Linked DNA regions of Bombyx mori. The protein of the gene in region 1 purifies or fractionates together with the protein of each later gene. This does not show direct contact. Links are inferred from orthologs where the notes say so. Each region holds a gene or a part of one and is shown in the gene's direction. Other genes may lie near its edges.

The links.
Region 2: the proteins of DNA polymerase delta catalytic subunit (region 1) and DNA polymerase delta subunit 3 purify together in Homo sapiens (co-immunoprecipitation; 8 studies listed by BioGRID and IntAct, with this or other methods). This does not show direct contact. The link is inferred for Bombyx mori from reciprocal best matches to the Homo sapiens genes POLD1 and POLD3.

What each region holds. Positions count from the first base shown.
Region 1 is NC_085116.1:10,631,953-10,636,305, forward strand, and holds the start of DNA polymerase delta catalytic subunit, read left to right. Parts: upstream 1-1,492; 5' UTR 1,493-1,640; coding exon 1,641-1,647; intron 1,648-1,712; exon of another isoform or gene 1,713-1,761; coding exon 1,762-4,353. UniProt on the Homo sapiens protein: As the catalytic component of the trimeric (Pol-delta3 complex) and tetrameric DNA polymerase delta complexes (Pol-delta4 complex), plays a crucial role in high fidelity genome replication, including in lagging strand synthesis, and repair.
Region 2 is NC_085112.1:7,020,267-7,024,699, reverse strand, and holds the start of DNA polymerase delta subunit 3, read left to right. Parts: upstream 1-1,442; 5' UTR 1,443-1,929; coding exon 1,930-3,318; 3' UTR 3,319-4,433. UniProt on the Homo sapiens protein: Accessory component of both the DNA polymerase delta complex and the DNA polymerase zeta complex.

The sequences.
Region 1 (4,353 bases):
CTCGAATCGCATGACCATTAAACACCAGCGTTTCATAAAGATAAGTATACTCTCACCTTAGCTGTCTATTGACCACATGTGCTTCTCTGAGAACGTTCTAAGTTTTTTTTTGTTTTTTCCTACCTAATCTGATAGCCTTGAGAGGCTATTTCAGCGTAACCTTAACTAGTAGGTGAGCTCACGGGGCTCAAACCGGAGTGAGTGATGACCCTAGCAAGAGCAGTGCTTCACAGAATCTACCACCGGATCGGAAACGCGATCCACTGAGAAGATCCGGCGAGAAACTCAGTGGGCTGTGTTTATGGGTTAATTCGCTCGTCGAGCCCTTCGTCGCAAGCGACAGGTTCGGCCATGACGGTGACCGGTGCTTGTGTACCTAAAAGCACCATTAATGGATCGGAAGGATCTAATGACGTGTTTTTTTTTCGGTCTACAGGGTCGGGTATATAGTTTCCAGCGGCCACGACAAGATGCTTTTTATGTCGTGCCGCCCTCTCAAAGTGCGTTCTAAGTATCGGTCACCGTTCTCTTTGAATGCGACGAAGAGTTCGCCGTACTTACAACATATCCCGCAGACCTTATCTATTGAATTTCTGGTGTAAAATGTTTTTAAGTAATGTAACTACTTCCAAGCAATTAATTAGTAGAAAATAATACTTTTCATTTAATTGTATTCTGTTACATATATTATTATAGTTTAATGTTTAGGACCTAGCATTATCTTCACTATGTTCTAAATGATTTTCTTTTTCAGTGATAATGGTCGAACGAGCACGAACAGAAGTGATTAGTATCCATTATAATAAACATACGTTTTTATAAACATAATGAATAATATACTGAAATTTTAAAACACGGGTAGGCTTCTGCAATTCAAACTTGCGCCGCATTTGCGAATACAAATAATAAATTCTAAAGATATTTCAGTCTATGTTATTCATTCTGTCGTAGAGGGCCCAAAGAGCCATCTAGTATTAAGGTGTTTACTAGAGCGTATACAAATCACCCACGTTAATGTCGCCGCCTACATAAACTGAGTCTCAACTATATTTTACAGACCTGGGATATTAAAGAGTTTCAATAGAGATCCTAAAAATAATAAATGTCTATCTTTAGTGCGTAGATCAGGTACAAAATCAGATCAGAAAAGATAATATGAAGTGAAATTAAACGAAGTTGATTAATTTGGAACATTAATCAATAGGCATGAAATGAATTGAAATGAAATGATATGGGATGAAATATAATATTAGTAAAATGGAGGTTTTTTACATCTTTTTAGTGGTCTTTTTGCAAGAGTCCTAAAAGTTATGTGCAGCCTTTATAAAAAACTATAACAGACAAATATTTTCTACATGGATACCAAGTTTCAAGTCAATCGGATGCATGGATTAGTAGTTACAACGGAACATCCATAAAAACCACTGTAGATTTAGATATTAGTATAGATTAGGCAGTATGGTATAATACCTTTGCCTTTCCAGTTGAAAAAGTAGAACTACCACTGAACTGATATTTGACAGTTCTTAAATTGAAAAAATCCCGCGTTAAATCCTACAGATTGATTGAAAAATCTTGACTTAATTACGTTAAATTTTAAAAAGTAGTGCTTACATATTATTTAAAGGTATAGAACCTCCATGTCAAGTAAGTGAAAGATTAAATTTATCTCCCGTTAATCTCAGTGCACAATTAGGTAGTTAATCTATGTTAATTACGAGGACGTAAAAGCAAGCTAAATTAAAACAATATTGTACACAGACAAAATGGACAGGAATAAAACTAAAGGTCCTCCTCCAAAGAGGTTTAAATCTGGCGACGATGACGATGAAAACGATACTCCATTTAGTTTCGAAGAACAACTGGCTTGTATGGACACTGGTGATATTGACAGCCAAGAAATATTTGAAGGTGAAGGACCTGAAAATCAATCTTCGAATATGAAATGGTCTCGTCCTCCACCGCCTATACTGACTCCAAACCGAGAAACATTAATATTTCAACAACTCGACATTGATCATTATTATGGCTCACCAATGAATGGCATGCCTGGCTCCCAATTGGCTCCCGTACCTATAATGAGGATGTACGGGATAACTTCAGAGGGAAACTCTGTTTGCTGTCATGTACATGGTTTTACACCATATTTTTATGTCACTGTACCAGTAAATTTTACAGAATCTTCTTGTAACGAAATGAAAACAAATCTTAACAAAGCAATATTAGAAGATTTAAGAGGGAATAAAGATAATATTAAAGAATGTGTCCTTGAAGTGCGTTTAGTACAGGCCAAATCAATTATGTATTACAAAGGTGATTCCAATATTACATTTGCAAGAGTTTCAGTAGCACTGCCAAAATTAATTGCTGCTGCCAAAAGACTGATCGAAAGGCAACCTCTATCTTTTGGATTGATGGATCCTCAATTTTATGAAACAAACATCGATTTTGATATACGTTTCATGGTTGATACTTCAATTGTTGGATGCAGTTGGATTGAACTACCTGTTGGGAAGTGGTTTTTAAGAACAATAGATTCAAAAGTGAAGCCTGAATCTAGATGTCAGATTGAAGTGGATGTGGCATGGAATGCTTTCATATTTCATCCACCAGAAGGAGAGTGGTCAAAAGTGGCACCATTCAGAATATTAAGTTTTGATATTGAATGTGCTGGTAGAAAAGGTATTTTCCCAGAAGCTAAACATGACCCTGTAATTCAAATTGCATCCATGGTCATAAGACAAGGTGAAACAGAACCATATTTAAGAAACGTATTTACATTGAATACATGTGCTCCTATTGTAGGTTCACAAGTACTTAGTTTTCAATCAGAGTCTGAAATGTTATCTAAGTGGTCTGATTTTTTTCGCAAATTAGATCCTGATATCATTACTGGATATAATATTAGCAATTTCGACTGGCCATATCTTATAAATCGTGCTAAACATTTAAATGTGCAAAAATTTGATTTTCTGGGACGAATAAAAAATGTAAGATCTGTTATAAAAGATACAGTCTTGCAATCGAAACAGATGGGTCGAAGAGAAAATAAAACCATTAATTTTGAAGGACGAGTTCCTTTTGATTTATTGTTGGTATTAGTTCGTGATTACAAATTAAGGTCATATACTCTGAATGCTGTCAGTTACCATTTCCTTCAAGAGCAGAAAGAAGATGTGCATCACAGTATAATCACAGATTTACAAAATGAAAGTGAACAAACCAGAAGGAGATTGGCAATGTACTGTCTTAAAGATGCTTACCTCCCACTAAAACTTTTAAACAAATTAATGTGTATCATTAATCACATGGAAATGGCTAGAGTTACTGGTGTTCCTTTACTTTGTTTACTAACAAGAGGGCAACAAATAAAAGTTGTCAGTCAGCTACTACGCAAAGCAAAAGAAGCTGGATATTTAATGCCAGTATACCATAGCCAAGGTTCTGATGATCAGTATGAAGGAGCCACAGTTATTGAACCCAAAAGAGGATACTATGCCGACCCTATTTCAACCTTAGATTTTGCATCTTTGTACCCGAGCATCATGATGGCACATAATTTATGTTATACAACTTTAGTTCCCCCTAATGCTCAAAACCAATTTAATGTTGCTGACAATGATGTTACTATAACACCTTCAAAAAACATGTTTGTAAAAAATCACATCAGAAAGGGCCTACTACCAGAAATTCTAGAATCACTACTCGCAGCAAGAAAAAAAGCAAAGGCAGACTTGAAGGATGAAAAAGACCCATTTAAAAGGTCAGTTCTGGATGGTAGACAACTGGCTTTGAAAATAAGTGCAAACTCTGTTTATGGATTTACAGGTGCTCAAGTAGGAAAATTACCATGCTTAGAAATATCTGGTAGTGTCACTGCTTATGGCAGAACTATGATTGAATTCACTAAGTCAGAAGTAGAAAAGAAATACACTAAAGCTAATGGATATAAAGAAGATGCTGTTGTTATATATGGAGATACTGATTCTGTAATGGTTAAGTTTGGAGTGAAAACTCTTGAAGAGAGTATGGAATTAGGAAAAGAAGCAGCTGAATTTGTTACAGCAAAGTTTGTAAAACCTATAAAATTAGAATTTGAGAAAGTATACTACCCATACTTACTCATTAATAAGAAACGATATGCTGGCCTTTATTTTACTAGACCAGATAAATATGACAAAATGGATTGCAAGGGTATTGAAACTGTTCGAAGAGACAATTGTCCTCTTGTTTCTAATGTAATGAGCACTTGTTTACAGAAGTTGCTCATAGACAGAGACCCAGATGGAGCTATTAATTATGCTAAACAAATTATAGCTGATTTATTATGCAATCGAATTGATATATCACAAC
Region 2 (4,433 bases), on another chromosome or scaffold:
TAATAGTATATTATCTGGACTTTTAGACTATGCCTATGGTGGCAGGACCTCTTGTGAGTCCGCGCGGATAGGTACCACCACCCTGCCTACTTCTGCCGTGAAGCAGTAATGCGTTTCGGTTTGAAAGGTTGGGCAGCCGCTATAACTATACTTGAGAACTTAGACTTATATCTCAAGGTGGGTGGCGCATTTACGTTATAGATACCTATTTATGGGCTTCAGTAACCACTTAATACCAAGTAAGCTGTGAGCTCATCTAACCATGTAAGGAATAAAAAAAAAACTTTTCGGCGGGAAGGCGAGGAGTGGAGTTGTGTGATTTGTTTTATTTTGTCTATTTAGTGTTTCTTCAGATTTAAATGTGTAATAACGGTGGTTTATTAACTGTTTAATATCTGTCAAAGGGCACAAATGTGGAAAAATGAAACAAAGCCGCTAGACGTAGCTTCTCGGGATCCTCCAAAAAGTCCACTGAAAACGTCTCAGTAAATGAACACCATTTTACCGAGATTATATTTCATCTCATATCATCTTATATCTTTTCATTTCGTGCCATACCATGTTTTATATTAATCAACTTCATTTCATTTCACTTCATATTATCATTTTTCATAAAATTAAGAATATAAATTAAAATAAGACATGACTTAAAGGTCTTAGTTAACAGGTCATAAAATCTCTTAAAAAAAAAAAAACTTCAGAGTAGACGTGCGCTAATCATGTTCGGAACTGGATTGAACATGACATCGTTCTTTTGAGTGTCGGAACTAGTTCCAGTAAACATGTTCGCGGAACTGTTTAGTTTCACGAACATGTTAAGTCTAGTAGCTGTTTGTAGTTTGTAGCTGTTTAGTTCCGCGGACATATTAAGTCTAGTAGCTGTTTGAAGCTGTTTAGTTCCGCGGACATGTTAAGTCTAGTAGCTGTTTGTAGTGTAGTGAATCACGTATTAAGTTATTATTAATTACACAATATTTTTCAAAAAAGGTATTAAAAAAACAATTTTTTAAAAGCACTATATAAAAATAGATTGCCGCTTATGGCAATTATTATTGTAATTATTATTTTGTAAGGTTTTTAGTTTTAGGTTCATTGTTACAGCTGGTTGCATAATTTATTAATGTACTGTAATTACTTTGTCATAATTTCAACTACTCTACTACTTTCATTATTTTTCAATGTAGGTATTGTACGATGCACCGAAAACTATAACCTATCAGTTGTTAATTAAAATACCACGTTATTCTGATATACAACGTAAATTGAGCTCGTTGTAGCCTTACAACCTTTTTCCCATAACCGAGATACCGAATAGCGAAAGTGGTGAATGTTTTAAAATTCTCGAATTTTGAATTATGATTTTCTAAGAAATGGTCTACAAACACTTAAGGTTAAGTGCTCGTAGGAATGATGCATGGTCAAGGTCAAAATCCATAGCAAAACATTTTAATTTAATCAACTATCGACTGTAACACGTAGGTCGTAGAGCATAACTTCAATATTAATAAAAATGTAATATGAAAGAGCTCCACACGCAGTTTCATGCACTCGCTCCATCTCACTCTCTCGTATTCGTGCCATATGTCGCCTTATCTCTTTACGTGGACTCGTGTCGGTTCGAGACTCGTTCGGGTGGACTCGCCGCGCCACGCCTCCGCGCCGCGCGGTACCTATGCTCTAATCATGTCCGCATGTCCGTCATGTTCAACGCGTTCGTAGTTCCTGCATAACAGTACACTTGGAATGGAAATGGAACTGTCTGAACATGTTAATTTTGACAAGTCGGATTGAATGATATAGTTCCATATGAGGACATAGTTCCAGGAACTATTTAGTTCCGGAACTACGCATGTCTACTTCAGAGTTCAGAAAAGAATTGATAGGTAACTTAAATTAACTGTTTACTGTTTGAATGAATTTGTATTTATAATGGATGAAAATAAGTCAGAGAGCTTAAATTCTATAAAGAACATAATCTTAGATGAGCGGCGTTTAGTGACATACACATCCATTAGTAAAGAATTGTGCATTCATGTAAATAAGGCGAAAATATTTTTGAGAGAATTTGTTGATGAATTGAGAAAGAACAAGCCGAATGTTGGTCTTTCAGTCAGCTACATTATCTCGGGATCCTTAAAAAACAATAAACTTCTAACTATTCTTGTACTAGAAGAAGAATTAGTAAGCGTGAAAGACAAATTCAGTACAATATTCTTTGAGCATATTTATAGTGTATGCTACGGCCATTGTACAAGTATAGATAAATCAGCATTTATAGCTATAAACACCTTCGAAGATTATTTGTTATGTAAAGGTACAGTCAAAAACAATATTTGTTCAAAGAGATCTTATGAAGAAATAGGCACTTTAAAATTTAAGAGCCAGGAAGTACCCGAGAAAAATCTGAAAAACTCCATAAAGAAAGATTCGAAAAACAGTATTAAAGAAGAAAATCACAATACACAGAATGAAGTGAAAACTATTAAAGATCATGATAAGAAAACAGATCCTGTAAAATCTGAAATTCCATCACCAAAGTACAATTCTGTTACTAACAATAAATCTCTTGATAAAAAAAGTAATGGAAAGTCTAATGGGAATATAATGGGATTTTTATCAAAAACACCAAATGTTAAAATGGATATTAACAAGAAAGATAAGGGAGATATTGAAAACAAAACAAAAATAACAAAAAAATTTGATAGAGAAGAAACAAACATTGATGATAGCTCTAAAACCAATGGAACTGAAATTAAATTGACAGAGAAGAAGTCAGTAAATAGTATAATCGCACAAAAAAATGAAGCATCAACTCAAAAAAAAGACATCAAAGTGGAGAAAATAGATATTGAAGTTAAAGTAAGAAATAAAAAAACTAACCAGGGGAATTCTTTTGGAAAGAAACGCAAAAGAGTATTGCATGTTTCTGATAGTGATAGTGATTGTGAAAAATCAGATTCATTGGCAGATGAAATTACTTTGGAACGTGAATCTGAAGATGAAATTCCACCAACTCCATCAGCTACCATTGTTACCATAACACCTGGGCTTGTTAATGCAAAAAAGAGGAGAAAAATCATAGATAAAACTTATACAGATGAAGAAGGATTTATGTTAACCAAAAAAGAAGAAATTTATGAGAGTTGTTCAGATGATGAAGTGCATACAAAAGAGAATGTTGATATTAAAAAACAAGTCACCGTTGAAACCACTGCTCTGAAAAATGTGCCAATAAAGCAATCAAAAAAAAAGTCTTCTCCATCACAAAAACATAAACAACCAACCATGATGAACTTCTTTAAAAAAGTACCAAATTAAATACCATCCTATGTAACCAAATCATGGAATAAAATAATTATACCATCAAGATATAGTGGATGCCAGTTCAATTGTTTTAATAAGGATCCAATTCTCTACGTACATTTATATACTTACAGAATGTAATAGGTTAACCTTCAATAAGCGCAGTTGGCATTATAATTTCTAAAGTTTGTTTAGGTAAATGGAAATAGGGAAGACAAGGTTGAGATAATTCTGCTATCAAATACTCAGTATTTATATAAAAAAGAAAGATAAATCAGTTCAGTGCAATATTTTCCCAGTTACACTGAAAATTTCCTTTTTTAATTTAGTAACTAGTGATGAGCTTTTGTAATATTGTTATCATTAAAAACAATCAGGAAAATTTTTACAAGTTCCACTTTTATACTAAAAAATGACAACAACAAAAGTATAAGTAGGTAGCAAAATTTTAATCTTATTGCTAGTGATGATGTTCTGACTTTGAACAGCAAGTTAGGATCGCTAATACTTACGAGTCATTAATTTCATTATTTCATGCCAATAATTTCCAACAGTTGTAAACCAAATATTAAACAAAAAAAAATATTGCACATACCGACATAATATATTCATGTACAGATATAGTTTGATCCCTCCTGGCTGAGCCCTTGCTTACCTACCTATCCTGGTGAAACTAGGAAAGCCTCCGAGAGAACAGTAATCTTTCAATCGCAAAAAAAAAATGTTTGACAGCTTTGTTAAGGATTATCGAATGTGATCTGAATCAGATAATGTAGATGATTGTAACATCATTATTTTTATACATTTTGATATTATGTTTTCGAATCTTTGCACCCTTGAATTTATTACAGTTACGCTATATATCTGTATAGCCTGTAATTCTGTGGATGGAAGGATTCTTTAAGAACTTATTACACTTGTTTTATGTCATTAACTTTACTGAATTCATTCACACTGCATGCCTGTGTGGTATGTATAAAATGGCCAGCATAAACTCATATTGGTGTGTCTCTACTCAACTACAAGTAAAAATTTATAATTTGATGTTAAATTTTACAGTGTTATTTGCTAATGAAGCTATGTTGGTATACTATTTTTACTGGTGGTAGGACCTCTTGTGAGTCCGCGAG